4 linked regions of the Callithrix jacchus genome follow. The protein of the gene in region 1 purifies or fractionates together with the protein of each later gene. This does not show direct contact. Links are inferred from orthologs where the notes say so. Each region holds a gene or a part of one and is shown in the gene's direction. Other genes may lie near its edges.

The links.
Region 2: the proteins of MTOR (region 1) and FBXW7 purify together in Homo sapiens (affinity purification with western blotting; 9 studies listed by BioGRID and IntAct, with this or other methods). This does not show direct contact. The link is inferred for Callithrix jacchus from reciprocal best matches to the Homo sapiens genes MTOR and FBXW7.
Region 3: the proteins of MTOR (region 1) and SQSTM1 purify together in Homo sapiens (affinity purification with western blotting; 4 studies listed by BioGRID, with this or other methods). This does not show direct contact. The link is inferred for Callithrix jacchus from reciprocal best matches to the Homo sapiens genes MTOR and SQSTM1.
Region 4: the proteins of MTOR (region 1) and AKT1S1 purify together in Homo sapiens (affinity purification with western blotting; 8 studies listed by BioGRID and IntAct, with this or other methods). This does not show direct contact. The link is inferred for Callithrix jacchus from reciprocal best matches to the Homo sapiens genes MTOR and AKT1S1.

What each region holds. Positions count from the first base shown.
Region 1 is NC_133508.1:49,126,248-49,134,058, reverse strand, and holds part of MTOR (serine/threonine-protein kinase mTOR), read left to right. Parts: intron 1-2,738; 5' UTR 2,739-2,779; coding exon 2,780-2,941; intron 2,942-3,900; coding exon 3,901-4,009; intron 4,010-5,169; coding exon 5,170-5,402; intron 5,403-6,288; coding exon 6,289-6,489; intron 6,490-7,811. UniProt on the Homo sapiens protein: Serine/threonine protein kinase which is a central regulator of cellular metabolism, growth and survival in response to hormones, growth factors, nutrients, energy and stress signals.
Region 2 is NC_133504.1:44,160,518-44,168,929, forward strand, and holds the start of FBXW7 (F-box/WD repeat-containing protein 7), read left to right. Parts: upstream 1-2,764; 5' UTR 2,765-3,758; exon of another isoform or gene 3,759-3,849; 5' UTR 3,850-3,925; intron 3,926-8,412. UniProt on the Homo sapiens protein: Substrate recognition component of a SCF (SKP1-CUL1-F-box protein) E3 ubiquitin-protein ligase complex which mediates the ubiquitination and subsequent proteasomal degradation of target proteins.
Region 3 is NC_133503.1:71,806,471-71,813,225, reverse strand, and holds the end of SQSTM1 (sequestosome-1), read left to right. Parts: intron 1-641; exon of another isoform or gene 642-764; intron 765-1,703; exon of another isoform or gene 1,704-1,823; coding exon 1,824-2,035; intron 2,036-2,351; coding exon 2,352-2,547; intron 2,548-3,460; coding exon 3,461-3,618; 3' UTR 3,619-4,310; downstream 4,311-6,755. UniProt on the Homo sapiens protein: Molecular adapter required for selective macroautophagy (aggrephagy) by acting as a bridge between polyubiquitinated proteins and autophagosomes.
Region 4 is NC_133523.1:43,645,608-43,652,954, reverse strand, and holds part of AKT1S1 (proline-rich AKT1 substrate 1), read left to right. Parts: coding exon of another isoform or gene 1-12; exon of another isoform or gene 13-1,725; intron 1,726-2,514; 5' UTR 2,515-2,595; coding exon 2,596-2,648; intron 2,649-2,963; exon of another isoform or gene 2,964-3,111; intron 3,112-3,551; coding exon 3,552-3,937; intron 3,938-5,100; coding exon 5,101-5,178; intron 5,179-5,264; coding exon 5,265-5,434; intron 5,435-6,856; coding exon 6,857-7,000; 3' UTR 7,001-7,347. UniProt on the Homo sapiens protein: Negative regulator of the mechanistic target of rapamycin complex 1 (mTORC1), an evolutionarily conserved central nutrient sensor that stimulates anabolic reactions and macromolecule biosynthesis to promote cellular biomass generation and growth.

The sequences.
Region 1 (7,811 bases):
GCCAGGGGAAGCCGCCCATCTGGGACGTGGTATCCCCACACTGCTGGCCCCGAGACCTGGGCACCGTCTAAGGCCTTGATTCCCACCCCTCGAGGCAACACCCACCTCCCCGGGACCCCCAAAAGACCCCCGGACCCTTCGTCCCACGGTACGTCTCAGGCGCCCGAAGGTCGGTCCATCAGCTCTGGTACTGCCCTTCGGGTCTTTTGCCCGTCACAGCCACCCTTTCTTCTGAGCCACCCACAGAAATTGTGGATCTCTGCCCCAGGGAACACCAGCGTCAGTGTCAGCCCCTTGTTCTCCACCGTGGAGACCTCTCAGGGACCCAGTCCCGGTAACTGAGCTCGGTTACATCGTTGGTGTACATCCTCTCTCCCTCTCCGCCACCCTCATCCCTGTTTCCCCCATCCAACTTTTAATTCCCTTAAGGCCTATCAAGACCCTTAGGATATTTGACTTCAAATATCCTAAGTTTAATTGTATTCAGCCTGGAGCAGATGGCCTGTGGGCCTTAGACCATATAAAGATGCACTGGTTCTTTCCTGAGAATAGAAATCCCATGCCAGCCTCCTTCCCCCCTTACACACACACACACACACACACACACACACACACAACTGGAGTAGTTTTCTTAGGGATTCTTAAGTTTCCTCTCTTCTAAAGAGTGACATTTTCTTCTGCAGTCTTTTTCTTGGCACTGGAGTATTTGGAAGCTTTTCAAAACCACTTATTCCGTTTTTTCCTCGGTATCTTACAAATCCGTTCAAAAATAAGAATTTTTAGAAATGGTTTTGTAGTATAAGCCGGACATACTTAGGATGGGTGTATGTTACTTCAGAGCAGTGTAGGCTGAGCCCCGTTAAGGCCACTGTGTTGTAGTTGGCTGATTTTGTATTTCCCCCAGAATTGTAAGCTGATTGAGGGAAGGAACAGTACATGATTGAGGAATGAGGGAATGATCTCAGGAACTAATTGGTTTCTTTTGGCTTACATTTGAAGTGCTAGTCTTCTATAGAATTGCATTGTTCAATACAAGAATTATCAGCCACATGTGGCTGTAGAGCACTTCAAATGTGACTAGTCCAGGCTGGGCATGGTGGCTCATACCTGTAATCCCAGTACTTGGGAGGCCAAGGTGGGTGGATCACCTGAGGTCAGGAATTTGAGTCCAGCCTGGCCAACATGGTAAAACCCCATCTCTACTAAAAATACAAAAAAATTAGTGGGGCCTGATGGTGGGCACCTGTAGTCCCAGCTACTCAGGAGGCTGAGGCAGGAGAATCATTTGAACTAGGGAGGTGGAGGTTGCAGTGAGCTGAGATCACGCCACTGCACTCCAGCATGGGTGACAAAGCAAGACTCCTCAAAAAAAAAAAGTAACTAGTTCAAATTGACATTAAGTGTAGAGTGCACATGCGATTTTGAAGACTCACTACAAAAAAAATGCACACTATATCAGTTTTAAAAAATATTGGTAACATGTTGAAATGATATTTGGATATGTTGGTTTAAGTAATTAATTTCACCTGTTTTTTTCACTTTTGGAAATATGGCTACCAGCAGCTTTAATATTACATTTGTGGATCATTTTATTTCCTTTTTCTTTCTTTTTTTTTTTGTTGAGATGGAGTTTTGCTCTTGTTGCCCAGGCTGGAGTGCAATGGTGTAATCTCAGTGCACTGCAACCTCTGCCTCCCGAGTTTAAGCAGTTCTCCTGCCTCAGCCTCTCAAGTAGCTGGGATTACAGGCATGCACTGCCACACCAGCTAATTTTGTATTTTTTATAGAGATGGGGTTTCACCATGTTGCCCAGGCTGGTCTTGAACTCCTGACCTTGGGTGATCTGCCTGCCTCAGCCTCCCAAAGTACGGGGATAACAGGCATGAGCCACTGTGCCTGGCCTGTGTTTCCATGAGACAGTGCCTCTGTAGAATAATAATCTCCCTTTTTAGACTGAACTTGAGGAAAGGGGCAGTCTTAGTCATTTTTAATTCTTTCGCTACCTCCCCACATTTGTTACCTGGCACTGTGTCATGTACATAGGAGTAGTAGCAATAATAATAGTTAACAAGTATTAAGAACTCAGTATATGCCCTATACTGTCTTAAACACTTTTTAACATGTTTAACTGATTTAGTCTTCACATCAACCCATGAATTAGGTACTATTGTCTTCCTATTGTAGTTGAAGAAACTGAGACATTTTGAGTCTCACATACCTTTCTCAAGGTATGTGACCTTATTTTTGTTGTTTTTTGTTTTTGTTTTTGTTTTGAGACAGTGTACTGGCGGGATCTCGGCTGACTGCAATCTCTGCCTCCCAGGTTCAGGTTATTCTCCTGCCTCAGCCTCCTGAGTAGCTAGGATTACAGGTGCATGCCACCACACCCAGCTAATTTTTGTATTTTTGGTGGAGATGAGGTTTCACCAGGTTGGCTAGGCTGGTCTCGAACTCCTGACTTCAGGTGATCCTCCCAACTCAGCTTCCCAAAGTGCTCAAGGTATATAACAAAAGGATTCAAATCCAAGTAGGCTAGCTCCATAGCCCACAATTTGACTCTCCCCACTACACTGCCTCTTTTATACATCAGTCATTGTTGACTGAATCTAGGCTTTCTAAATCTTCCTCCAAAAGATCTCTCAACATTTCTAGAATCCCTACCTGACAAGGACTAGGGGGAGATCTGTGTTGAGTTATCAGGGCCATGCATAAATTTATCGCCATACTTTCTTACCCAGAATATTAAAGGAAACTTCTCTCTAAGGAACCTCAGGGCAAGATGCTTGGAACTGGACCTGCCGCCGCCACCACCACTGCCACCATATCTAGCAATGTGAGCGTTCTGCAGCAGTTTGCCAGCGGCTTGAAGAGCCGGAATGAGGAGACCAGGGCCAAAGCTGCCAAGGAGCTCCAGCACTACGTCACCATGGAGCTCCGAGAGGTGGGCTTCTGTGATTTGGGGCCAGCCATTGTGGGATGTTTGCGCTAAATGTACCATCACTGGTGTAGATTTTTTGGATAGCTAAGTGAAGATTTGGAAAATAGAGATTATTTTAGAAAGGTCCCCAACCTCTTACATCCATAAAAAAGGCAGGTTCGTTTGCAGCACTTGCACATTTCTGTGGCATTTTTCTTGTTTGTGGTTACATTTGAGGGGCTAGAATAGACTTAGCTGTTTCTTTTAACTTTTTCTTTTTACCTAAGCACATACCATACCCTCAATGCTTCCTGTCTGTTAACAGTGATTGGGATGGGTTTGGAGAGTTGAGAGCTAGGAGATTTCTTCTTTTTTCTTTCAGACAGAGTTTTACTCTTGTTGCCCAGGCTTGAGTGTAATGGTGCGATGTCAGCTCACCGCAACCTCTGCCTCCCAGCTTTAACCAATTCTTCTGCCTCAGCCTCCTGAGTAGCTGGGATTACAGGCACGTGCCACTATGCCCGGCTAATTTTTGTATTTTTAGTAGAGACAGTGTTTCTCCATGTCAGCCAGGCTGGTCTCGAACTCCTGACCTAAGATGATCCACCCTCCTCAGCCTCCCAAAGTGCTGGGATTACAGGCATGAGTCACTGTGCCTGGCCCCAGGGGCTTTCTAAATAGAGACCAGACTTGAAGTCAGAAACTGTCTTGTTTTTATCCTTGTATCCCTGGTACTAGAAAGAACCTAGGACAGGACATTTTCTGCCACAGAGTAGATACCGATTAAGTATTTGTTAAATAATCAGCTGATTGCAAGTTCAGGTGTTCTGCGATGTATTCTTACAGAAATTGCAGTAACTTGTCTTCTTTGGTTTGAACTACACTACCTGCCTCTCAGGAGCTAATCTTTAGATGCCAGGCCACCCCCACCACCACAGTCAGAGAATTATTAGAAATTGTTGTAATTACATCTTCTTTTGCAGATGAGTCAAGAGGAGTCTACTCGCTTCTATGACCAGCTGAACCATCACATTTTTGAATTGGTTTCCAGCTCAGATGCCAATGAGAGGAAAGGTGGCATCTTGGCCATAGGTAAGGACAGAGTCTCTGGTCACAAAAAACAACACACTCATCTTTGTGTCCACTGCACCCTGTGTCTGCACTTATTGGATGCTAGTTCATATTTGCTTAATGAAATTTAAGAAGCCCGTGGCTTTTAATTCTAGCAGCATTCCTGGGCTGCAGGCAAATGTATTTTTAGGTGTGGAAGTGGAGTCTCAGAACCACTGAGTGACTTTTCAGACAGTTTACCAGAGCTGAGACTAGAAGCCAGCTTTCTTTTTGGTTTTTTTTTTTTTTTTTTTTTTTTTTTTTGCCCTCACTCTGTTGCCCAGGCTGGAGTGCAGTGGCGCGATCTCGGCTCACTGCAACCTCTGCCTCCTGGGTTCAAGTGATTCTCCTGCCTCAGCCTCCTGAGTAGCTGGGACTGTAGGCATGTGCTACCATGCCTGGAGAACCCAGCTTTCTTTCCACTCCTTCATGGTGCCTTTTACAGGTACTGGTTCCTCAGTAGAGCAGGGTTTCTGATAGTGGGGCTCACAGATGGAAAAGTGGAATCAGTATAGTTAATAAAAGGCAGGTCATCTTTTTTTTTTTTGAGATGGCGTCTCACTCTGTCACTCAGTCTGAAGTGCAGTAGTGCAATCTTGGCTCACTGCAACTTTGGCCTCCTGGTTTCAAATGATTCTCATGCCTCAGCCTCATGAGTAGCTGGGATTACAGGCATCTGCCATCATGACCAGCTAATGTTTGTATTTTTAGTAGAGATGGGGTTTCATCATGTTGGTCAGGCTGGTCCTGAACTCCTGACCTCACGTGATCCACCCGCCTCGGCCTCCCAAAGTGCTGGGATTACAGGCATGAGTCACTGCACCCAGCCAGGCAGGCTATTTTTAACTTCTAAGGACTGGTCATCAGTCCTGTGAATTATTATTCAGTCCCAGTTGTTTTCTCTATTTTTTGGGGGAGGGAGCAGTTACCTATACTAGCCTGAGATTATTTTGCTTTATGTAAGTATTTCTGGCAGAAGTATTAAACATCTGGCTTAAAATGAAATTGTCTGCGTTCTTGCCATCTAGAAATGTACTCAAAGTAGAATGGAGGGATCACTTGCCAGCTTTTAGTTTAGGCTGTATGCTTTTTTGGCCAGCATAGGCCCTGTCATCACCTTTTGCCTTCCTCTCTTTTTCTAGCCAGCCTCATAGGAGTGGAAGGTGGGAATGCCACCCGAATTGGCAGATTTGCCAACTATCTTCGGAACCTCCTCCCCTCCAATGACCCAGTTGTCATGGAAATGGCATCCAAGGCCATTGGCCGCCTTGCCATGGCAGGGGACACTTTCACTGCCGAATATGTGGAATTTGAGGTGAAGCGAGCCCTGGAATGGCTGGGTGCTGACCGCAATGAGGGCCGGAGACACGCAGCTGTGAGTGCCTGCAGGGAGGAGCACAGCCAGGCCTGGGGAACGATGGTGTCATGGTGGGATCCTTTGCTTCGTTTTGAGGCTTATCCCTGAAAAAGGCTGTTTAGAAGGCTAGGATTCCAGGCTGTGAGATGTGGTAGAGTCTGTCCTTAAGAGAGAATTGCTGGGTGTGGTGGCTTACGCCTGTAATCCCAGTACTTTGGGAGGCGGAGGCAGGCGGATCAACTTGAGGCCAGAGATTTGAGACCAGCCTGGCCAGCATGGTGAAATCCCATCTCTATTAAAAAAAAAAAAAAAAAAAGAGAGAGAGAAAAAAATCTAGTAGTGGTGTGATGGGAATCGGAAGCATCAGCTGCATACTTTCCAGTCTGCTCCCCTTTAGAGGAGGCAGTACAGTGAGGAGAGAGCATGGTATCAGGAGAGGGACACACACTTGGACCCTGGCTCAAGTCTTGGCTCTCCAGCTTCCTAACTCTGTAACCTAGGGCAGCTTTTGACCTTCAGTTTCTTCCTCTGTCAAATAAAAAGAATATGATTAAACATTAAACAGGATCATCCATTCAACAAATAATTATTACATACCTACTGCATTCCAGGTAGTGTTCTAGGCTGTTGGTATAGTGGTATAGAAAACATAAAACACATCTGCGCTTCCAGAGCTTATGTTCAAACATTACTAGCAGTTTTTGTTTGTAAACAACATAGGATAGTGAACACTGAGGTGTTTCCTCAGTTTTGCTTCCATTCCTCTGTCTCCAGAATTTCCTAGCTAGAAGAGTGAGCAAGCCTTCCCTGTTGCTAGTGTATGACTCTAAGATGATAAGAGACTGCACCCGAGAGAACACAACTCTGGTACCGATGAGAGTTCTCAGTTTGCCTTTTTCTCCAGGTCCTGGTTCTCCGTGAGCTGGCCATCAGCGTCCCTACCTTCTTCTTCCAGCAAGTGCAGCCCTTCTTTGACAACATTTTTGTGGCCGTGTGGGACCCCAAACAGGCCATCCGTGAGGGAGCTGTAGCCGCCCTTCGTGCCTGTCTGATTCTTACCACCCAGCGTGAGCCAAAGGAGATGCAGAAGCCTCAGTGGTACCGGGTGAGGAGATCGCCCCATTCCAGCCTTTAGCAAAGCACATCTACATAGAGAATCACCTGGCCTAAAGGGCAGCCACAGGCTTTGCCAGTCTTATGTTAGAAAAAGAGCTCTGGACATGTGTTGGGAGACCTGGGTTCCAGTCTTGGATTTGCTGTGTGATATTGGAGCAAGAATCACTTTTGTTTTGGTCTCAAATGAATTTTTTTTTTTGCTCTGTTGCCCAGGCTGGAGTGTAGTGGCGCAATCTTGGCTCACTGCAACCTCTGCCTCTCGTGTTCAACCTCTGGCACCTCAGCCTCTCGAACAGCTAGGACTATAGGCATGCACCACCATGCCCAGATAATTTTTGTATTTTTGATACAGACAGGGTTTCGCCATGTTGGCCAGGCTGCTCTCGATTTCCTGACCTAAGGTGATCCACCTGTCTCGATTTCCTGACCTAAGGTGATCACGCCTGTAATTCCAGCACTTTGGGAGGCCAAGGCAGGAGGATTGCTTGAGCTCAGGAGTTTGAGACCAGCCTGGGCAACATATGGGACCCTGTCTCTACAAAAATATATAAATATATATATATTAGGTGGGCATGGTGTTGCACACTGTGGCCCCGGCTATTTGGGAAGCTGAGGCAGGAGAATTGCTTGAGCTGAAGAGGTCAAGGCTGCAGTAGTCGTGATCACGCCACTGCACTCCAGCCTTGGCAACAGAGTGAGACTCTGTCTCAAAAAAAAATTTAAAAAAAGACATCTCTTGCACCATTGCACTCCAGCATGGGTAACAAGAGCGAAACTCCATCTCAAAAAAAAAAACAACAACAACAGCAACAAAAGACATCTCTTTTCAGAGGTGTTAAAATATGGAAAAATTGGTGTCTCAAAATCAGTGAAATACAAATGATACTAATTTAGAAAGTGCCAGTTCTCTTTGCTCTAGTATCATGAAGCCTGTGCTGATTGCTTCTGCAGAGGGAACTCATCAGTAAGTCTTACGTTAGAAATAGAGCTCTGAACATGGGTTGAGAGGCCTGGGTTCCAGTCTTGAGTTTGCTGTGTGATCTTGGACAAGTCACTTAAATTCTTTTTTTTTTTTTGAGATGAAGTCTCACTCTGTCACCCAGGCTGGAGTGCAGTGGTACAATCTCGGCTCACTGCAACCTCCGCCTCCCGGGTTCAAGTGATCCTCCTGCCTCAAGCTCCCGAGTAGCTGGGACTACAGGTGCCCACCACCATACCTGGCTAATTTTTTTTTTTAATAGAAACAGGATTTCACCGTCTTAGCCAGGATGATCTTGATCTCCATGATCCGCCTGTATCGACCTCCCAAAG
Region 2 (8,412 bases), on another chromosome or scaffold:
TCACAATAAAAATGTTAAAAGTAATTAATATACTGTGGATAGCATTTCTGGAGAGCAAAATTTTGCCAGATAATTTAGCTTACACAATCTTTGACAGTAAAACCCACTGATGTGGAATAACAAAACACTGATTGGTTTCTCATTAGAGTTCACTTTCAAGTGTAAAGGTCAAAAACCGTGTTATGTTTTAACACAGTATGTAAATCTTTATCATAAATTGATGAACCAGGGAAAGAACTATTAGCTAAAACTTCAGATTTTTTGGAACTTTGAATTAACTAGCTATTTCTCCTCTGGATTAATAAGCATACAAGGAACTAAAGAGATTCAGACCAAGTTGGAAATTGTGTGAACTTCCTTCTCTCCAGTCTCCAGTTGCAGCTGTTTCCTCCAGTTATCAAGCTGGGTGTTGAGGTGGGTATCTAGCCTAGTAAGCTTAGAGTGCTGTTATTAAATACTTTCTAAGTAGGTGGCTCAGGGCTTTCCTGAGTGCCATTCTGTTCTACAGCACTGAGGCTGTAAGGGGGAGCCACGGACAATGAAAACAGATCAGGCTGCCGAAAAACTCTATGTGGAACACACTTAACTGGAGGTGTTCTCTGCTGGGCTGCAGAACTCTGATGTTTCCACTCTTTTCCGTCAAAGCCCACAAAGCTTAAACTCTCTGAGGTGCTTAGCTTCACAAAATCCCCTAAATCTGTGTGTTTTACTCCTTTAATTTCCACCATTCCCCTGCTGTAATATAGGAAGAGGGGGGAAAACAAAAAATCTTTATATGGTAGCCATGTGAGACCATTACTTTTTGGTCTGATTAACTGTGAGTCTCATTTGGAAGGATGTAGCAGGGGATTGGTCATGTAAAGACAGAAAGATCCAGGGTAATTTAAGCAGGACTTTTTTTTTTTTTTTGAGACAGAGCCTTGCTCTGTCACCCAGCCTGGAGTGCAGTGGTGAGATCTCGGCTCACCGCAACCTCCGCCTCCTAGGTTCAGGTGATTCTCCTGCCTCCGGAGTAGCTGGTGTGATCTGCCCGCCTCCGCCACCGCCTCCCAAAGTGCTGGGATTACAGGCATGAGCCACCGCGCCCGGCCTTAAGCAGGATGTTTAACCTGGCTCTTGCAACTTCAGGTCAAGGGCAGTAAGGTCAGATGCTAAGTCTGTGAGACTCTCCTTGGTTTTGCCACATCCTCCTTTGCCCCTCCCACCACCTTTCCTGTAGCATTTTAATCAACAGGAGCCCTTGGATTTACCCAGTTAAAATATTCCTTAGTTTACCGTTTGCAGATGGTGGTGGCAGTAGTGGCAGAAACCCAGAGCTTCCCAAATTTGTTTATAATACACTTGCTCCTATCTCACCCCTCCTCGAGGTGGAAATACTTGTAATATCCATTACTACTGTTTTCAGAGGAGGTGGAATGTACTAGGGTCCAGCGACATAATTGTGAAATTTGCTTTCATTATTGTTGCTGCTTTAATGTCTTTCTGATACGATTGACCATTCTCATGCTATTCACTCAAGACAGATTTCTCAGGATTCGGATCCTTTTATTAAAAATTTTTTTTCCTGGAGAACTACACTTTAAACTTCATGAGTTTTTACTTGACGTTCCTTTCCAGGATAACGTCTGTAGGAAAAGCTGCACTAATAGTAATAATATTTGTTTTAGAAAGAAAATAACCTTTGAGTCAGACCTGAAACACAGGCCAACATTTCTTGATGACACTGTACACTGATGAACCAAGACGAGAAGCTCTCGAAAGCTCCAAACCGTAAGAAAGAACGATTCGTAAAAGTGTGGCACTACTAATGAAATTCTTCCCTTGAGAGTCAAAAATCCTTCCACAATCTCCCGGATGATGGTTCCCTTCCAATCCTCCCTCCCCGCCGCCCTAAAAATCTGCCCGAGGATGGGTTCCTTCCCCTGCCCAGCATTTCATCTCCTTTTCCACTGAAGACTCAGGTTGTGACTCTGTACTCAGGCCGCACCCCTGTTTCCTTTCATAGCTAGGGGGAGGGGAGGAATGTATTACAACTCATTTTTACAATGCACTGCAGTTTGAAAAGCGCTTGCACTTCCACCATATCCTATGAGCTTCGCGAGTGCCACGTGAGGAGGCATTCATTCATTCATTCATTCATCAAACATTTGCTCTGCCCGACCACACGTTATCCAGCGCTGAGTCTCACCCCACGCCACGGGAAGGGTGGGGCGCTCTCTCCCTGGGGCAGGTGCAGTGGATCAGGCCGTGGGGTAACTCCTCGATCAGTCCGGCTTTTCGAGGGCCTGTTTGGAGCCAAATGCCTCACCTTCGGGTGGTGCGCGCAGTTGCCTGAAGGCGCGGCCTGGGCCTCCTACTTCCTCCCAAAGGAGCAGTCCCACCTGCCCCGCAGGAAACCGCTACAGAGCAAGCTCTCCGGGCCGCCCTCGGGTCAGGGGTAAGATCGGGCGGCAGCTTAGGCTTGTCTCGGCTCCTCCCCTTCCTCTCTTCAGTTCTGACGCGGCCGTAGAGGCTGCAGCAGCGGCGGCGGCGGCTGCAAGTCCCGCGGCCCGAGGCGCACCCACCCGCTCGCCTATCCCCACTTCCTCTTCCCTTGGAGCGTCATCAGAGCGCGCCAGAGGCGCCCAGGGCGGGGTGGCTGGACTAGGAAAAAAGGCCCGCGGAGGAAGCCTCAGAGCGGAAAGAAGAGGGAGGGGGAGGAGAGCGGTTGCTAGGTGACTTGCGTCATCTGCAGGCGCCGCTCTCCTCCCGCCCCTCTCTCTCTAGAGTGAGGCGAGAGCCCCGCACAGAGCGAGGGAGACAGCGAACTGAGCTCCGGGCGCTGCCGCCGCCGCCGCCGCCGCCGCCGCCGAGAGTAAGAGCGAAGGAGCATCCGAGAGACTCAGCCCCTCTGCACTGGCCGCCGCTGAGACCTTCGCCCTCACCTGGGTCAGCGGGAGCCGCGGCCGCACACCTCTCCCCCCCTCACCTTCCCGGCCGGCAGCAGAGGCTGCACACGCCGGAGCCGGAGCCGGAGCCGGAGCCGGAGCCGGAGCCCGAGCCCGAGCCCGAGCCCGAGCCCGAGCCCGAGCCGGAGCCGGCGGCTTGGGGGGCAGGGAGGCGGCTACCGCGGGCCGGGACTGGGTAGCTGCTCCGCGGTGAGAGAACGCTGAGGAGGCGCCGGAGCTTCTGCCTCGTCCCGGGGCGTGGGGCGTGGGACCCCCAAGGTGTAGGGAGGGGGGTCCCAGCCGCAGCGACACATGCAGGAGCCGGGAGCGGGGGCGGCGCCGAGCGGAGCCGGCAGGGTCCCCCGCCTCGCCGCCGCCTCGGCCACCCGCCCGGGTCCGTAGCATCTTGCCCCGGAGTGTATGAGCCGGGGCCCCAACCAAGCTCTGCAACCACCCCCCCGGCCGGGGGGACTGGGACCCCGATGTGAAGCAGCGGCTGGGGCGGCGGAGAGAGCGGGACCGACGCCGCCGTCCTTTCCTCACCTTCCCCCTCCCCTCAGCCCCCTTCGGGGGTCTTCTCCCTTGGCCAGTCGCCGGCCCCCCGGCTCCTTGGCTGGACTCCGGGAGGAGTTCTTAGAGCCCCCCTCCCCCGCCCCAGCCCCCAGGGCGGCGGGGCCGGGGGGGATCCGGGGGGCCGGCCACAGCCTCCGCCCAGAGGAAACTTTATAAAAACAAAATCCAGAGCCTCCCAAACGTGACTGTCCTGGGAGAAGTGGCCCTGGACGGGCAGGAGTCGCAGCCTGAAAAGACCCAGGAAGAGGAAAAGAGGAGGTAAGCGGGGCCGCCGCCTCCTCGCCCCTGGCAGCACGGAAGAGACCCGAGTGGCCGCCTGGTTTAGCGACACGAGCCGCTTCTTCCTCAGGACCGCGCTGCCGCCTCAGTCCGAAGGAGGAAGGGAACCAGCCCACTTTCTCGGCGCCGCGGCTCTTCTCTAAAGTGTGAGTGGCCCCGTGAGAGGGAATTGAGGGGAGAAAGTGGGAGGATGCCGGCGCTTCCTCCTGGAGTTTTGCTGATGTTCCCAGGAGTGTTGGGAGTCACAAGAGGGTCTAGCTTTATTCACAGAAGGGAGAAGGTGTTAGGGAGGCCTGTATTTCGTAACTTTTTAACTCTGTACGAGTAATGCAAGTATGCAGGTTTCTCTTGGAGGAGTTCCTTCTTCAGAGTGAATACTCGCACCTTTCTGGCCAGTAATTGGCAAAGGGAAATTGAGGAAGCCAGAGGATGTGTGCGCACAGAGGCCATCTGTATCTGTAACCTTTTCCTGGTACTGTGGGTGTGTACAGTGTTCTTTTTGTTTCTGGGGTACTCTTATATAGGACCCCCGAAAGCAAAATTCCCTTTTTAAAAAAAAAAATGAAAAAACAGTCTTGGGAGATTTTCATTTAGTACCTATTGATACAGGAGTTAATCTTCTCAGTTCCTGGGTCTGTGTGTCAGGAGACACTGTAACAGATTTCACTTAGGAACTTGATTTCTTAGGAATCACAGCTTATCTGGGGAAGAGCATTTATCACATTAATCATTTTATAAAAGTGATTTTTTTCCCCTTCACCAAGTTTTTATTTTTTTTGGAGTAACATCTTAAATGACAACACTTTTTAATTTTGTTTGAGGTTTTGCTATTTTGTATTGTCTTTATTTCTGTATCAATTTAGGATACACTTTTGATATTTAATTCTTTCAGGAATGACTTTTTCCTTCCATTGTTTTAAAGTTGAAGTCTATAAAACCTTTGACTTGCATTTTAGTAATGTTCTCAAAGTACCAAATTAAAGTTTCATGGAAGTAATTAACATATCATATACAGTCCTTAAGGGTTAAACATAGAGTAGAATTTTATGTAAGCAGGCATAGACAGTACTATAGTGAGAATTGTGGTCCGTCTAGACAACTGTGTGGGCTCCTTCTGTCTGAAGCCACTGCTGAGAGTTGCTTTGTGGTAATGAATGTAAGCCTGGGGTTATCAGTCTATCTGAAGTTCTCCATTCAGGATCTTGATTAAATTTATTTAAAACTCAAACTTAACAATGTTTGGTCCTATTCTTTTAAAGTAATGAGTTCTGCAAGTTTATTAGCCTCTGTATTATGTGACAATTCATTTATAAATTCCATAGGCAATTTATTTATATATTCCATACCTGTGTCCATAAATTTTCAGGACACAGCCAGAGTTTGTGTTTCGAGAAATACCAGAACAAGCCTCAGTTCATCTTTCCTTACTTTTATAGTGTTTTATTATTTCTACCATCAGTTTCTCCAACTCTTGTCTTAGAATAATGTTTCTTATTTCTTTGACCACTTTTTCCTCCTCTGGAACTTCTCCCACTGTACTGTTTTTCTTTAGTTGCCTTACTATGTTTTGGTAAGGAACCTTAAATTCTGTCTTTTAAGTGTGTACTGACATGAAAATATTGAATAGTGGATGTAATGTTAGACTTAGAATCAGAGTCATGTATTTTGTTTTTCACAAAGATATGATAAAGAGAAATGTAGTCATGTAGAACCTGTATTTTGAGAAGGAGGGGAGGACAAACTAAGAAACAAACTGTAGTTTGAATGTAGGTTGCATTCTGTCAAAGTTGCTCACTAACTTTTGGACTACTTGTATTGCTTTAACTATAGATTGGTTAAAAATTTTGGTAATTTTATTTTATGTTATTTTGAGATGGAGTCTCTCTCTGTCACCCAGGCTCGAGTGCAGTGGTGCAGTCTTGGCTAACTGCAACCTCCACCTCCCAGGTTCAAGCGATTCTCCTGCCTCAGCGACCCCAGTAGCTGGAACTACAGGCGTACGCTACCATGTCTGGCTAGTGTTTTTGTATTTTTAGTGGAGATGGGGTTTCACCATGTCAGTCAGGCTGGTCTCAAACTCCTGACTTTTTTTTTGAGATGGTGTTTCGCTCTTGTTACCCAGGTTGGAGTACAATGGCGTGATCTCGGCTCACCGCAACCTCCGCCTCCTGGGTTCAGGCAATTCTCCTGCCTCAGCTTCCTGTGTAGCTGGGATTACAGGCACGCGCCACCATGCCAAGCTAATTTTTTGTATTTTTAATAGAGACGGGGTTTCAACATGTTGACCAGGATGGTCTCGATCTGTTGACCTCGTGATCCACCCGCCTTGGCCTCCCAAAGTGCTGGGATTACAGGCGTGAGCTATCCCGCCCGGCCACAAACTCCAGACTTTAAATGATACACCCACCTCGGCCTCCCAAAGTGTTGGGATTACAGGTGTGAGCCACTGTGCCCAGCCAGAATTTATTACATGTTTGAGTAGAAATGACAAAGTATTTGGGGTCCCTGTCTTTGAGATGCTTTGACTTGTAGGTGGTGGAGACAATCAAACACAAATTGCACGAAGCTACTGGGGAGATAGACCAATATTTAAGATCACACTAGATGTTAGATATTATATGGCACTTTATAGCTGTTAATGTATTTTTACATTTTTCACTAGTGAAATGTTGCTTTTGTGTAGAACTAATTGAAGTGTTAAAGCAATATCTGGAAACATTTCTTTTAGGAAGAAAAGAGCAAGTGGAGACAAAATATTTAAGACTTTTAGAATGGGGAAGCATAAGGGACAGATAAAATTATGAAGTTGGTCTGAAGGGAATACAGATGGAGGTTGTTGAGTAGTGTTAGGGTCAGTTGTGTTTGTGTAGACACATGATTACAGTCAGAGAAGCAATTGAGAAGAGTGTTCCTGAGAGAGTAGTTTCAGATGACTGGGGAGAAATTACATTTTAGGCAAAGCCATTGTGCCTGGATTGGGTTTTTTTTTTTTTTTTTCTCTAGGAACCAACATTTTTACGTCATGGCTATTGAGCTATACAGAAGGAGTGAAAAAGAAGATGCTTAGTGTGTTGCTGGTAGCTTCTTACAAAAAAGAGTTTGGAAATGGGACAGTAAACTTTGTTATGGATGTTAAATTGTAGGGCAACAGTTGGGTACTGGTGTAGTTTCCAGACAGCAAGATAGTTCAGCAGGTAATACACTGAAAATGTAAAGTTGGAATTATTTTCGATATATTTAGGTTTTCCAGAGTACTGATGGAAAGTGAAGAGCTGAAAAATGGGTGTTTTTAGTTGGGAGTGGAAAATCTGAATGAATGAGACACTCCCTAAAATAGATGTTTTAAACGTGGGTAAAAGTTGAAGTTGAAAAGGAATGAGCAGGCTTTAAACATGGCCACCAGTTTAGTCCCAGGGTATATTATTCTGTATTTTTGAAACAAGCTAAAAGTTTTCTTTTTCTTTTTTCTTTTTAAATAGGGTATATAGGTCTCTTGAGATTTTAAGAAGAGTATATATAATTTCATTGTTAAAGAACTTAGAAGGACAGTTTTGTTTTCTCAAATTCATATTTTTAAAGTTCACTCTGCATTATTATCCTAAGTTTAGTCTTAATATGACGAAGTGAGGCTAAAAATAGCCAGCAGAGAAGGCTGCTTCCCTTGTTTGCAGTTGGTGTGTGTCTTTGTGTCCCATACAATGGAGGGGATATCCCTGTGTAGGCACAGCAGTGCTGAACATGCTTTTTTTCTTTTAACCTTTTTATTAAAAAACAAAAAGCAACTTGGCACTTAAAAAAATGTAGACATTTCTGTGGCTTGCATTTAGTATTAACTTTAACGAGGATTAAGGATTGTGAGGAAGGAAATACAGATTCACACTTTTTTTGTGTTTCTCATTTGGAATTCTGCGCTTTCCCGCTAGCTTCTCTGACTTCTTAAAAGAGTGATTATTCAAATGACAGAAACTCTGGGGAAGAGATATTTAGACAGGGAGATAGGTCTAAGGTGATTCTAGGGTGAAGATATAGGGATTGGATTACATGCCATATGGAGGCCTTCTCTCTTCACCTTCTACTTTCCACAAGATTTTTTATGCAGTTGAAGCCATGTTCAGATGAATTTTAAAAGGCAGCTGTTTATAGTTAACATTATTTGCCACTAAGGACAGTGGGAAGCTTGGGACTCTGATATTAGGGAGTGGTAACTTCATGTACCTTAGCAACTTTTGGATTAATAGGGAATTAGCCTTAAGGATGTGTGTATGTGTGTTAGCATCCACCAGATGACCTCCATAGGCCATGCATAGGCTCATTTCGTTGTACTTTGGAGATGGGTCTTGGAGAAGTCTTCTGATGCCTTATATCTCATTGTGTAGAGGAGGAGTTGGCAAACTTGTTTTGTAAAGGGCCAGTTAGAAAATACTTTAGGTTTTATGGGCCACATGATATATCACAACTTTCAATTCTGTTCTCATAGTGTGAAAACGGCTGTAGACAACACTGAAGTGAATGAATGTTTGCTGTGCTCCAATTGGCCCTTAGGCCGAGGTTATGGACCCCTCGTATAGACAACTGCCAAGTCCACCAACAAACAGTATCAGCTTTATTTCACTACAAAGCCAGGACTGGCTAT
Region 3 (6,755 bases), on another chromosome or scaffold:
TAAAGGTGGTCACAGCATCACAACAGAGCCTCTGCCCAGAGAGCTGCCAGTCCTGGCTGGAATAGGAGGCTGCACACCAAGGGGCATTCTCTAAGGAAAACACCAGAACCAGTGGGGCCTCTGATCCACTTCACCCCTGTAGAAAACTATGGAGATGCTGTGGGAGAACATGGGGAGAGTTAGCAAATGAAAAGAGAAGGCAGGCTGGGCGCAATGGCTCATGCCTGTAGTCCAAGTACTTTGGGAGGCCAAGATGGGCAGATTACCTGAGGTCAGGAGTTCAACACCAGCCTGGCCAACATGGTGAAACCCCATCTCTGCTAAAAATATAAAACTTAGCTGGGTGTCGTGGCGGGCACCTGTAATCTCAGCTACATAGGACGCTGAGGCAGGAGAATTGCTTGAACCTGGTAGGTGGAGGTTGCATTGAGCCGAGATTGTGCCACTGCATTTCAGCCCAGGCAACAGAGCGAGACTTCATCTCAAAGAAGGCCAGGTGTGGTGGCTCATGCTGTAATCCCAGCACTTTGGGAGGCCAAGGCAGGCGGATCACAAGATCAGGAAATCAAGACCATCCTGGCTAACATGGTGAAACCCCATCCCTACTAAAAATACGAAAAATTAGCCGCATGTGGTGGCACATGCCTGTAGTCCCAGGTACTCAGGAGGCCGAGGCAGGAGAATTGCTTAAATCCAGGAGGCAGAGGCTGCAGTGGTTGAGTTCGTGCCATTGCACTCCAGCCTGGGCAACAGAGTGAGACTGTCTAAAAAAAAAGAGAGAAGGCATCATTAGTGATAAGAAAACAAAAAGCTATACAAGGAAATAGTCTGCTAATTGACCCAGCAAATAACATTAAGACAGAGGTACTAACTGAAACACTGAACGTTGTTTTAACAAAAAATTGAGTCTTAGAAAGGGTAGTGGAAGGGGAGGCAGATACTGGTCTAGAGTAAGAAGTGCATAGATGTGAACTCTATCAGTAGGCAAGAGTAGCATGAGCTGAAAGAGCCCAGGGAGGCTTTGGGGAGTGGAATGGGAGCAGGGAATATGCATCACAGCCTCTGGCAACTGGTGACTCTAAGCTGTGGGTATGGAGACTTTTGACACATGTAATTTTAAAAATATTGTGATTCCTCCCTCTGTCCCTGGTGAGTTATGTGAGCCTGGAGGTGTGCAGGCTCCCTGTGCTGCCAACCTTGGGCCCTACGCCTTGACTGCATGGCCTGTCCACCTCTCTGAGCAGAGCCCTAGCGTTTAGGTGCGTGTACGTGTCATCACACAAAGCCTCTGTGTGCAAGTATCATGAGACACACAGCCTTCCATCACTGGCTGGAGGTGCCTGCCACATGTAGCATTGGCTCCCCCTGTACTTAGGGCCTGGCCCTACCTGCAGTGTAGCCCATGTCCTGCATGGTTAGGAAAAATAAGGTCTCTTTGGACTTCCTAGCTCTGAAGCTGACCTTAGATGTTAGCTGAGGTTCATGTTTTAGTGGATTGGAGAAAGAGAAAGGTCCAGTATCATAGGCACACAGAGTTTCCAGAAGCCACAAGAGATTTGGAGCTGGGATACTGGGAAGAGCCTCTGACTCAAGGGTTTGTATCTTGGCTGGTCCCATACTGGCTATGTGACTCTAGGGTCAAGCTCAATAGGAGAACCTAGCACCTGTATCCACATGCTGAGTGCCACCATCCAGACCTTTACCTGTTGTGGGGACTGAATGTGAGATCTTTGTGAGTCTGCAGTCCCCACATGCCAAGCTCCTGCCTGCAGGTGCATCCTTCGGGGAACTTCACAGTTTTTTCTTTCCTCCTTGGCCTCTAGGCATTGAAGTTGATATTGATGTGGAGCATGGAGGGAAAAGAAGCCGCCTGACCCCTGTTTCTCCAGAGTGTTTCAGCACAGAGAAGAGCAGCTTGCAGTCAAGCAGCTGCTGCTCTGAGCCCAGCAAGCCCCGTGGGAACGTTGAGGGCGCCACGCAGTCTCTGGCGGAGCAGATGAGAAAGATTGCCTTGGAGTCCGAGGGGCACCCTGAGGCAAGCTTGTGCCCCTCCCGCCACCTGGGACTGTGGCCAGCCTAGTGATTTGTGGCCTGCACCTCTGCCTCATCCTCAGCACCTATGCAGCCCCACTTATAAAATCCAAGGGAGCTGCTGCTGTTCCTGTAGTGATGTCTGTGGCATTAAAGTCCTTTGGGAACCTGCTAGAATTTTGTAGTTACTTGGTCTTTGAGAGTGACTCACTATTCCCTGTAGCCCCCTGCAGCTTTAAACACATGCCAGGAGTTGGTGTCATGTCAGGCTTGGCCTGTAGGGAATGTCTCCTGTGTGCTCATGGTGCGTTTTGTTCCAGGAACAGATGGAATCTGATAACTGTTCAGGAGGAGATGATGACTGGACCCATTTGTCTTCAAAAGAAGTGGACCCATCTACAGGTGAACTTCAGTCCCTACAGATGCCAGAATCTGAAGGGCCAAGCTCTTTGGATCCCTCCCAGGAGGGACCCACAGGGCTGAAGGAAGCTGCCTTATACCCGCATCTGCCACCAGGCAAGTGAACCAAGAGGCTTTGTATTCATTCCTACCTTTCCCTTCAGAGCATCCTGTCCCCTTCTGATTTCAGCGACACAAACATAAGGATGGGATGTTCTCCACTTTGGGGCTTGTCTGTAGGCTAGGGAGGTTAGGAGTCCTCTTAGGTCTACACTGAGCAACAGCGAGTAAATTCTGCTAATGTAGTTCTAAAAATTTTTTTCTTGAAGCAAACTCCAGAGCAAGGAATATTAACTGTAGAAGTTTCTAAAACTTAACATGCAGACCTGGAATTAAGGCAGGTGTGACACAGAGTTGGGGCAGCACTGGGTGTGTCCCCACTACTCACCTTGGGCTCAGACTCTTCAGTGTCTCCTCAGGGAGGGCTGGCCTGAGAGTGGGGGTCATAGCCGAGATCCCGATAGCCAGGCAGAAGCCACCACTGAAGTGGGTGGTGTAGAAGGCAGTGAGGGTAGGGTGGGGGGACAGCTGACACGCAGCTGAGACTCATTGTCACATGGCAGCCGTGGGTAAACCAAGGGCTATGTGCACCGCCTGCCATGGGCTGCTGGTGTGTGTCTTCTCCACCTTAGGGGAAGGGATGGTGAGCTATGGCTGATGCGCCAAGAGTATTTCTTATATTTTTAAATCAAATAATGTGACAGTTAGATGAAATGCATATTTCAGTGTCCATTGATAGTTTTGTTTACATACCACCTGGCTGCCTTGTGTCACAGTGGCAGAGTTGAGCAGTGTGAAAAAGACTGGCCCTTTACAGAGAAAGCAGGTCCACTGTGGCCTGGGCCAGAGCTCTGGGCAGGCTTGTCCACTGGCAGACCTGGTCCCAGTTGGCCAAGGCAGGAGGCTGTGTGTTTTGGGTCACTCAGGGGGCTCAGAGCCATTCCTCATGGCTTCCTTACTGTTTTGGCAGAGGCAGACCCACGGCTGATTGAGTCCCTCTCCCAGATGCTGTCCATGGGCTTCTCTGACGAAGGTGGCTGGCTCACCAGGCTCCTGCAGACCAAGAATTATGACATCGGGGCAGCTCTGGACACCATCCAGTATTCGAAGCATCCTCCACCGTTGTGACTGCTTTTGCCCACCTCTTCTGTTGTCCCCCACCTTGTGTGTCATAGTTATGTTAAGCTACTGTAGAACTGCAGGTCTCTGTATGGGCCAGTTTCTCTGCCTTCTTCCAGGATCAGGGATTGAGGTGCAAGAAGCCATTTAGGAAGCAGCAAAACAAGTGATATGAGGGTAGGGTCCTCATGTGTGTGCACTGATGTCTGAGAAACAAGACCGGCCTCCGGGTTCCCTGGCTCCTTGCAGCGGTGCTGGGCCTGCGAGACCTGAGGCTCACTGCAGTGTGCTCCTGACCGCCCCCATGCAGGGGCTGCATTAGCAGCCCAGCACATAGCTTGACTAATGGCCTTCCACTCTTTTTTTTTTTTTTTTTTCCATGACTCATAGGTCCCTGACATTTAGTTGATTTTTCTGTTAGAGACCTGGTACTCTCTGATTCTAGATAAAGTAAGCCTAGGTGTTGTCTGGGGGTAAGCAAGGGAGGGGGCTGTCTTGGCGCAGGCAGTGGCAGCCAGTGCTGTGGGCTTCCTGCAGGGACTGAGAAAGCTCATGAAGGGCATCTGCAGTCACTGAGAGCTGCCTCCTGGTCTCTTCACCACTGTAGTTCCCTCATTTCCAAACCACCAGTAAGATCTCTTTGTAGCTATCCTGTTATATTTGTTAACAATCTAATTAAATGGTATCAGCACTTTAACCAATGACATTTGCATAGAGAGAAATGATCTGTTTGACAGTAATTTTATTGTTGGTGGTTCTTACATAGTATGTTTAAAAGTGCCTTTGGGGAACCCTATCCCTCCTAACAAGTGTATCTCGATTAATAACCTGCCAGTCTTAGATCACAGATCATCATCAAAGTCTTCCCCAGTTGTAAAGAGGTCACATAGTCTCGTGGATTGGGGATTCTGTGCCTCTTGGACCAAGGGCCCACCCTCTGCCTGACAAGTCCTTGCATCCCATGAGGTCTTCCTGCAGGGCCTCTCAGGCCCAGATGTGAGGGTGTGTGTGGCTTGAGGAAGCTGGGCAGCAGCTGTGGGCCTGCTGAGGCCTTCCTTTGAAGTCTGTGCCCTGGGGGTCCCTTGCTTAGCCTGTGCTGGCCCAGCTGGCCTGGGGTTTCTCTGCAGAGGCCTTGGCTGCTCTCTGTCCACATGTGAACTGTTTCTAGGTGACAGGACAAATTGTGCCCATTTAGAGGATGTAGCTGTAACCTGCCCAGGACTCCTCAGCTCCCTGATGCTGCACTCTGCATTGTTCTCCCAGAGGCAAGGGCTGCTGCCTTGTTTCACCTTCCATGTCAGGCCAGCCTGTCCCTGAAAGAGAAGATGGCCATGCCCTCCATTTGTAATAACAATGCCAGGGCCCAGCAAAATCGCCTGCCATGCCTGGACCCTGGCTGGGCCTATGGTTCTGACACTTTGTGCTGGAAGCTGTCGGGCTGGGGACAGGCTTTGATTCTGAGGGTTAGCAAGACAAAATAAATCCCTTCTACCTCACCCCAAATCTTCTGCTAAAGTGCATGACCAGGCTTTCCAAAAATGACATTTTCATGTCATCAGGTGATCTATTTCCTGGCAATCTTAGAATCAAGTCAACAGTACTTAAAAAGGAGGTTTGAGCAGGGAGGGTGTAGAGACGTCCGGAAAGGGGTGGGCTGGCTCCATCCTACCACTTCCCACCTGGGAGTGGCTCTTCAGAGCCTGCCAGGTTCTGCAGCTGCAGTGGTGGCAGCACCAAGTGCTGGGGCCTGGCTTCGCTCACCCCAGGAACCAAAGATGTACTGAAAGTTGGGGTGTAGGCTGGGTATGGTGGCTCATGCCTGTAATCCCAACACTTTGGGAGGTCGAGGCAGGTGGATCACTTGAGACCAGGAGTTTGAGACCAACCTGGCCAACATGGCAAAACCCTATCTCAAATAAGAATATAAAAATTAGCCAGGCGTGATGGCATGTGCCTGTAATCTCGGCTACTTGGGAGGCTGAGGCAGTATCATTTGAACCTAGGAGGCTGAGGTTGCAGTGAGCTGAGATCATACCATTACACTCCAGCCTGGGTGACAGAGCAAGACTCTGTCTCAAAAAAAAAAAAAAAGTCAGGTTGTAGGCTGGGAGCAGTGACTCATGCCTGAATCCCAGCACTTTGGGAGGCCAAGGCAGGCACATCACTTGAGGCCAGGAGTTCGAGACCAACCTAGCATGGTGAAACCCTATCTCTACTAAAAATACAAAAATTAGCTGGACATGGTGGCATGCACCTGTAATATCAGCTACTTGGGAGGGTGATGCAGGAGAATCACTTGAACTCGGGATGCAGAAGTTGCAGTGAGCCAAGATTGTGCCATTGGACTCCAGCTTGGGCAACAGAACAAGACTCCGTCTCAAAAAAAAGATGGGTTGTATTGCTTACAAAGGGATGTGAAAGCAATGATAAGAGTAGGTCCCTGCTGCACTGCCACCAAGGCAGTATGGAAGAGGCTCTGTGGCCCTGATTGACACTTGATGTTGGCTTTGCTACTGAACTTGCTGTGACCGCACAAAAACTGCAAGTCTCAGTTCCTCACCTTTAAAACAAAACAACAGGCTTGATGGAGCATAAAACACAATGATACCATTAAAACGTGCAGCCTAGGGACTGACATGTAGTGGACTCTGATCATTCTTCTGGGATTTGGAGATTCAAGGCCACAAACTTAACCCATGGTCACAAAACTAGTTGGCAGCAATAAAGTTTGAACTCTGCCTCTTGCCATGAGCCAGTGCTCTGTGCGTGGTGTGAGGTCACCCATGTCTGACCTTGGTGACATGGGGGTGGGGGCAGTGACTGAAGCCCAGTGGACTCCCAACTGCAGTGCCCTTATTTGTGCCCTGGCTCCTGTGACAGGCAAAGCAAACCCTGCACTCTAGCGCTGGATATGCGGTGGGGCCTGCTGGATTGGAAGCTTAAAGAACAAGACAACTGGGCCAGGTGCAGTGGCTCACACCTGTAATCCCAGCACTTTGGGAAGTGGGAAGACTACTTGAGCCCAGGAGTTTGAGACAAGCCTGGACAACATAGTGAGACCATGACTCTACAATTTTTTTTTTCTGTCACCCAGCCTGGAGTGATCTCAACTCACTGTAACCTCTGCCTCCTAGGTTCAAGTGATT
Region 4 (7,347 bases), on another chromosome or scaffold:
GGCTACGGGCACGTGAGTGGAGGCGGCGTTGTGAACCGCGGTGTGGGGAGGATTTGGCCGTCCAGAGGCAGCGGGGCGCTGGGAGGGCGAGCGGCTCACGGGAGGGGTATGGCCTGCATAGATCAGAGGGGAGAGGTTGGCCAGCGACCCTTTGCAGAGCGCTGGAAGGGGATCGCCCGTGGGAATCGTCCTGACTGACCCGAGGCAAATCGTAGACAGCCTCACTTTGCGATGTCCAGAACCCCTGGGATCCCTACTTGGGCCGTGGACCATGTCCACGGGGTCGGGGGATGGCTCGGGGGGCCTCGGGGCGCCCCCTCACCCGTCCAAAGGCGGGACTTCCGGTCCTGGCCTCCGCCTGGGCGGGATTTCCTGTTTTTTTCCTCGTCCTGTGGATCCTCCCTCGACCCCGGGTGAGGTTGGGAGGTCTCTGGGCGCCCGAACCTGGCCCCAGACACTCACCCCACCCACGGCTACCGCGTGCACTCTAGGGTTCCTCACATCTTGGGGTGAGGGGCACTAAAATTTCGACGAGCGGGGGTGTTTACACCCCTCTCCTTAACACTCTACATCGTGCCCCCTCCCTCTTGTGGGGAACACGTCCCACCTTCCTCTCATCTCTACCTGATCTTAAACGAGACTCGTCCATCGGGGCGGGTTCTTCCTCCAACTCTCAGCTCCTTGGAGGAGCCCGGACCTCCTCTAGAAGCTGAAGGGTAAGGAGTACCCCCAGGTCTTGGTTATTCTCCTGTCGGGGAACAGACTGCAGGGTGTCCCTGGACCTCGGCAGAAAGGCCTGTGGAAATCGCCCTGTCCTTTTTGCTCATGTCTCCTGAGTTGGGGGAACCCTCACAACCCACTCACCCCATTTCACTCTCTTCAGTCTCGTGGCTACTCCAAGATTGAGTACAGGGAGGGAGTTTCATCCTGACATTCTCTTCCCGGACCCCCCGCTCCCCCCGCTCCCCCCTCTTCTCATGTCATTAGGGGCTGAGGGCGCGTGGAAATGAGAGCCCCAGGCCTAGCACGGGCAGGCAGTTGACTCTGGACTAGCCACTTCCTTGCTTTGAGCCTCAGTTTCCTCCTTCATCAGGTGGGAAGGACATGGGGGTGTGTTGGAGACACTGGGTACCCCCCGGTTCAGTGGGGTTTTGGGGCTGAGCAGTCATCAGTTTCAGCTCCACTTGTGCCCTGTGTAGCTTGTGCTTTCTGGCCAGTGTCGTAAGTTCTGAGCCTCACTTTGCCATCTACATTAGGAGATCTGTTTTGGTTTTTTGTTTTTTTGAGACGGAGTCTTGCTCTGTCGCCGAGGCTTAGAATGCAGTGGTGCCATCTTGGCTCACTGCAACCTCCTTCTCCCGGGTTCAAGCGATACTTCTGCCACAGCCTCCCAAGTAGCTGGGACTACAGGTGCGCTCCACCACACCCAGCTAATTTTTGTATTTTTAGTAGACACCAGGTTTCAGCATATTGGTCAGGCTGGTCTTGAACTTCTGACCTTATGATCCACCAGCCTCAGTCTCTCAAAGTGCTGGGATTACAGGTGCGAGCCACAGTGCCTGGCCAACATCTGTCCTCCTAAAGGCAGGTAGGATGGCGATCAGAATTTGGAACAGGCTCTGGATTAGATCGTCGGAGTCCAGATCCCAGCCCTCCCTCTTCCAGTTGTGGGGCCCTTCAAGGTGCTGACTGTCCCTGGGCCTGAGTTCGCGACTGCAAAGTGGGGTGAGCTGTAGCTATGGCTCCTGCCTCATAGCTTAGGTAAAAGGGTGGGATGAGAAGGTTGAGCCCGTCTTTGGTCCTGGCATGGCTTCTGGGAAGTGCTGGATAAACCTCTTCCTTCCCTCGGGGCTTTGGACTGAGTGAGTCAGATGCGGGGTGGGGGGGGAATGCCAGATGTGGAATCCCAGCACTGAGTAGCTGCTCAGTAAACACGATCGTGAGTCATAAAGGGCCTGCAAGTTTCATTCCAACCCGGGACTCCCTGCTCCCTTAACCCTGGCATGCTGGACCACAGCTCTGCCTGAATCCCTGCAGTGATGGTGTGCTCACTGCCTCCCCAAGGAGCCTCTTCCAAAGCCCAACAGCTCTGGCTCAGCTACTCTGGTTAAAGGGAAAGAAAGTGAGGCACAGAGAGGGCTAGTGAATGAGCAGTCCAAGGTCACACAGCAGGTTTGAGACAGGGCAAGGACCCTTGCCCTCGATCATCTCACCGGGTAAGGAGATGCCCCCTGCTTTGTCTGCTTGGGGCCAACCTGTCCTGTGAACACAAATCCCTTATTTCAGGGGAATTCACAGTCTGATGCAGGAGGCAGCGGGGTACAGCTGTCACAAGTTCAGGTGACATGAGCGCTCATGGAGGAAGCCCAGGGCATCGGGTGGGCTCCTGAAGTCATCTGCTGCACCCTGGGTGATCAGGGACGACAGAGGACCTGCCAGAGCAGTCTTGTAGAAAAAGCCACAGGGATTTCCCCGCACAGAGCAATCCCAGCACCATTTCTTCCCCTTGTTCAGCCCTGACTCTCTGAGGCCTCAGTCGTGGAACCAGCCAATTCCCTCTGGAAGGAAGAGTGCTGGGGAGGTGGCCACTCAGACATGGTGGGACCCCCCCCAGGGAGGAAACTGGCTGGATCTAGGGGTGAGTGCAGGTAGGTGGGGAACGGAGCACGAGTGATCCAGGGTTTGGGGGGTCCGTGTTGTCTGAAGGCTGTGGAGGCAGGATGGCCCAGGAGCCAGGGATGGCTAGAACACACGGGGCCTCCAGGGCCAGGCTGAGGGCCAGGGACCCTGTCCTGAGGACTCTGGCGAGGAGTAGCAGGAGCTCCAGGTGCAGAAGGACCCCCCTGGGACTTGGGCACCACGCTGTGGATGAGACGTGCAAGCTCCACGTGGAATTCCACATTTTCCAAAAACCATGACGAAAGAGTCAAAGCAGATAATTTTTTTTTTTTTTTTTTTAATAGAGACGGGATCTCAACATGTTGCCCAGGCTGATCTCGAACTCCTGGGCTCAGTGATCCACCTGCCGTGGCCTCCCAAGGTGCTGAGATTGCAGGTGTGAGCCACCGTGCCTGTCTGTTCTGCTTTTTTGTACTCAGCCTTCAGAATCAGGTACGGGCTTGCCTCTCAGCATCCTCTCTGCTGCGACTCCCCACTCACATGTGGCTGGCGGCTCCCACAGAGGCCAGGGCAGGGCCAAAGGGCAAGGAGCGGGGTGGCAGGAGGAATGGGGCTGGGGCTGATGGCTCGCTGGGGCCTGGGACTGCGAGGGAGGGCTGGATGGTGAGAATCTGGAGAGTAGCAGGTTTGGGGAGGACACGCAGCACCCCTGGGACAAGGTGGGTGGAGGGGGTGAGTGCCATCCAGGGAACAGGCAGACACCCTGGGTGGGTGGTGGAGGGAGTGAGTGCCATCCAGGGAATAGGCAGATACCCTGGGTGGGTGGGTGGGTGGGTGGAGGGGGTGAGTGCCATCCAGGGAACAGGCGGACACCCTGGGTGGGTGGTGGAGGCAGCCAAGCCTCAGCCCCCTCTGTCCTGCTCTGGCCGCAGGGCGCGGATGGCATCGGGGCGTCCCGAGGAGCTGTGGGAGGCCGTGGTGGGGGCCGCTGAACGCTTCCGGGCCCGGACTGGCACGGAGCTGGTGCTGCTGACTGCAGCCCCACCGCCACCACCCCGCCCGGGTCCCTGTGCCTATGCTGCCCATGGCCGAGGAGCACTGGCTGAGGCGGCGCGCCGCTGCCTCCACGACATCGCGCTGGCCCACAGGGCTGCTGCCGCCGCCCGGCCTCCTGCGCCCCCACCAGCACCGCAGTCACCCGACCCCACACCCAGCCTGCCCCAGCCTGCCCTGGCAAGGGAGGACAACGAGGAGGATGAGGATGAGCCCACAGAGACAGAGACCTCCGGGGAGCGACTGGACGTCGGTGATGACGGAGGTGAGAGGGCGTGCACAGGGGCAGGGGCAGCCCAGCGTTTGACAAGGTACCCGCTGGAGGCTTTCCTGGGGTCTGGGGTGGTGGGACCTGCTTAGTCCTGAGTACTTCCATCGAGATGCGGTCTCAGGACCCCAGAGCCAGACAGGCTTGCCTGGGACTTGCTGTGTGATCTGAAGCCAATCCCTTCCCCGCTCTGAGCCTTACTGGTCCTGGAGCCAGCTCTGTGCTAGAAGTGGTAGCCACAGGGACACAGAGCAGACTTTGGCCCTTTTCAAGGGGCTTCCAGTCTAGCCAAGGAATTGGAGTCCTGATGAGGGTCGGGGGGTTCTGGAGCAGGGCATAAGTAGAACCAGAGTCATTTCCACGATGACTGGAAGTCAAGATAGGAGTGGAAGAGCTGTCAGGGATGCAGCAGACATCTGAGGAAGCCCCCCATTCAGCTGTTGTGGGGGGCATCTGGGGGTTGAATACTTCCAGAGGTTGGGTTGTAACACTAGGGCTTTGAGGAGTGAGTAGGAGTTTGATCAGTAACTAGGAGGTCCTTTTTTGTTATTACTTTTTTTTTGTCTTTTTGTTTTTTTCCTTTTTGTGGAGAACGGGGTCTCACTATATTGCCCAGGCGGGTCTCGAACTCTTGGGCTCAAGCTATTCTTCCACCTCTGCCTCCCTAAGAGCTGGGATTACAGGCGTGAGCCACAGCGCTCGGCTGTAATTACTAATGGCTGGCCTCCTACCTGTTGTGGGAGAAAATCCACATGGGGGAGGGCAGGCATCCTGAGTTCAAATCCTGGTGGTGTCCCTTAGTAGCCATGGGACCTCCGACAAGTGACTTAACCCCTCTGGGCCTCCAGGTCTCCTTTGTCAACAGAGGTCACGGTCATCCCGTATTTCTCTCAGGCTGTATTTTCAGTCCCATCGTCCCGAACAGATCGTAGCGGTTTCCTGTTAGCTACGTCGTGTGTAGCCGAGAAGGTGACAGATGCATAGAGGGTGTGTTTCTGCCGATGACCAGGCAGGTGGCTAGGGGAAGGGTTTTCGAGGTGAAGGAAGTGGGTCTCAGCAGGGAGGCGGGGACCATGGTCGGGGCCGTGGCTGGGGAGGAGGGCACACGGAGCATGGCCAGGCGCCCACTGGCCCGGGCCTCTCACTCACACCATCCACAGGGCTCTTCGTGATGGATGAGGATGCCACCCTCCAGGACCTTCCCCCTTTCTGTGAGTCGGACCCCGAGAGCACAGATGGTGAGTGTCCTGGGTGGTCCCCTCCCTACCTGGAGGTGGGTGGCTGGCACAAAGACACAGACGCTGAAATTTACCCTCGCTTTCAGATGGCAGCCTGAGTGAGGAGACCCCCACTGGGCCCCCGACCTGCTCAGTCCCCCCAGCCTCAGCCCTGCCCACACAGCAGTATGCCAAGTCCCTGCCTGTGTCTGTGCCCGTCTGGGCCTTCAAGGAGAAGAGGACAGAGGCACGGTCATCGGATGAGGAGAATGGGCCGGTAAGGGGCAAATGGGGGGAGGTAGGGAGGGCAGCTGGAAGGGCTCTGAGCCACTTCCTCCAGGAAGCCCTCTGGCATGGATGCTACTTTCCACCCATAAGCTGACTGAATCCTCCCCTCAAACTCAAGAAGCAAGTTCTTGGGCCCAAGCCTTGCAGTTTTAACAACTGCGGCCTTACCGTGTGTCCTAGTGCCTTACAGAGAAGCCCTCTCCTTTCCAGGAGCGTCTTCATTTGTAGAACACTTGCTCTGGGCAAGGCACAGGCATTCCCTCTAGATGGGGAAACTGAAGCTTGGAGAGTTCAGATCACCTCCCATCCCCACCCTGCACATTCCCGGCTCTTTGCAGAATTTGTCCCACCCCCCGGTCTCGTTCATCCCTGTTTGAAGCTCCTGGGCTGGGCTAGCCTGGGTGGGTCCTCCTCACCCCTCACTGAGGCAGTAAGAGGACATGTGACTTCCCTGAGGGGCAGAGCTGGGACTGGAATCCAGCTGCCTTTCAGGAAGGAGCTGTGGGCTTTGAGGGAGGTGGCCTGGGTCCCCACAGTCCATGCTCTCAGACCTCAGTGTCCTCATGTGTAAACCAGCAGTCACAGTGGTCACGTCCTCCCTACCTCCTTCCTCCACGAGGCAGTGGGCGCTGAAGAGCAGGAACCAGGCCCGGTGCAGACAGGGTCTGCCTGCTGCTGCTGTCTGTGCTTGGGACGCACAGCAACACAGCTCATTGGATGCTCTGGCCTCCCCCTGGTCAGGTCCAGTTCCTGATCTGGGTCTCTGGGTCCCATCCTGCAAGGGAACAGGCCCAGCTCAGGTGTCGGGGCTGTAGTGGAGGCAGGACCAGGTGCTGGAGCTGCAGGCAGAATGGCAGGACCGCTCCTTGGTGGGGGCTGACACAGGGAGGGACGCTTTCTGTACAGCAGGGGCCACATGATACAGCAATAACAGCTGATTATCTCAGCCCTCACAGAGATCCTGCTGCCCACCCCATTTCTCAGAAGGGGAGACTGAGGCCTAGGGAAGCAAAACCTCTTGCTCCCAGCTAATTAGCAGCAGAGATCTGATTGGAACATGACTGAAACCCCAGCCCAGATCCTCAGACATGAGGCAGTGCACGCAGCCTTAATGGCCAGCAGACAACAGCACTTCCAGTGTGTAGGAAGCAATGTCCCAGGCCAAGAAGGGGAGGCGGGGGGGAAGGGCAGGAAGGCTTCCTGGAGGAGGTGTCTGAACCAGGTAAGAAGTGTTCCTACGCAGAGCAAGACGGGGAAGAGCACTGCTAGCAGTGGGCATCTCAGGGCACAAGTGGCCGGGGGGCGGGGACGTGCTAGGAGTGGGCTTGGAGCCAGGGTGCGCGCCCAGGCTGCGTGTGGGTGCAGGGGTGGCCATGCTGGCGCCGACCTCGCCCTGTTGCCGTCCCCGCAGCCCTCCTCTCCGGACTTGGACCGCATCGCGGCGAGTATGCGCGCACTGGTGTTGCGGGAGGCCGAGGACACCCAGGTCTTCGGGGACCTGCCACGGCCGCGGCTTAATACCAGCGACTTCCAGAAGCTGAAGCGGAAATACTGAGGCCCGGGGCGGGAACGTCCCGGGCCGCGTACGCTCCACCCCACACTACGTCCCCGCCCCATGCCCGGGGCCCGCCAAGCCGAGGCTGATCTGGGAGCCCTCCAGGATTGACCAGTGTCTGCCAGTCCCCGCTGCCCTTCCAGCCCGCGACTTCCAGCGCCGAGGAGCGGGATATGCCCCTTTTCTCGATTGCCTCTCTCTGCCCAGCGACAGATTCCTTCTATTAAGGGATTGGCTCTCTCAGTTCTAAGCCCTAAACGGGTCCACTCCGTTGTTTTCTGCCTAGCGACAAGGCCTTCGGTCGCACGGCATTGGTTCCATCCCCTAGTCGCTGGGCAGTTCTTTTT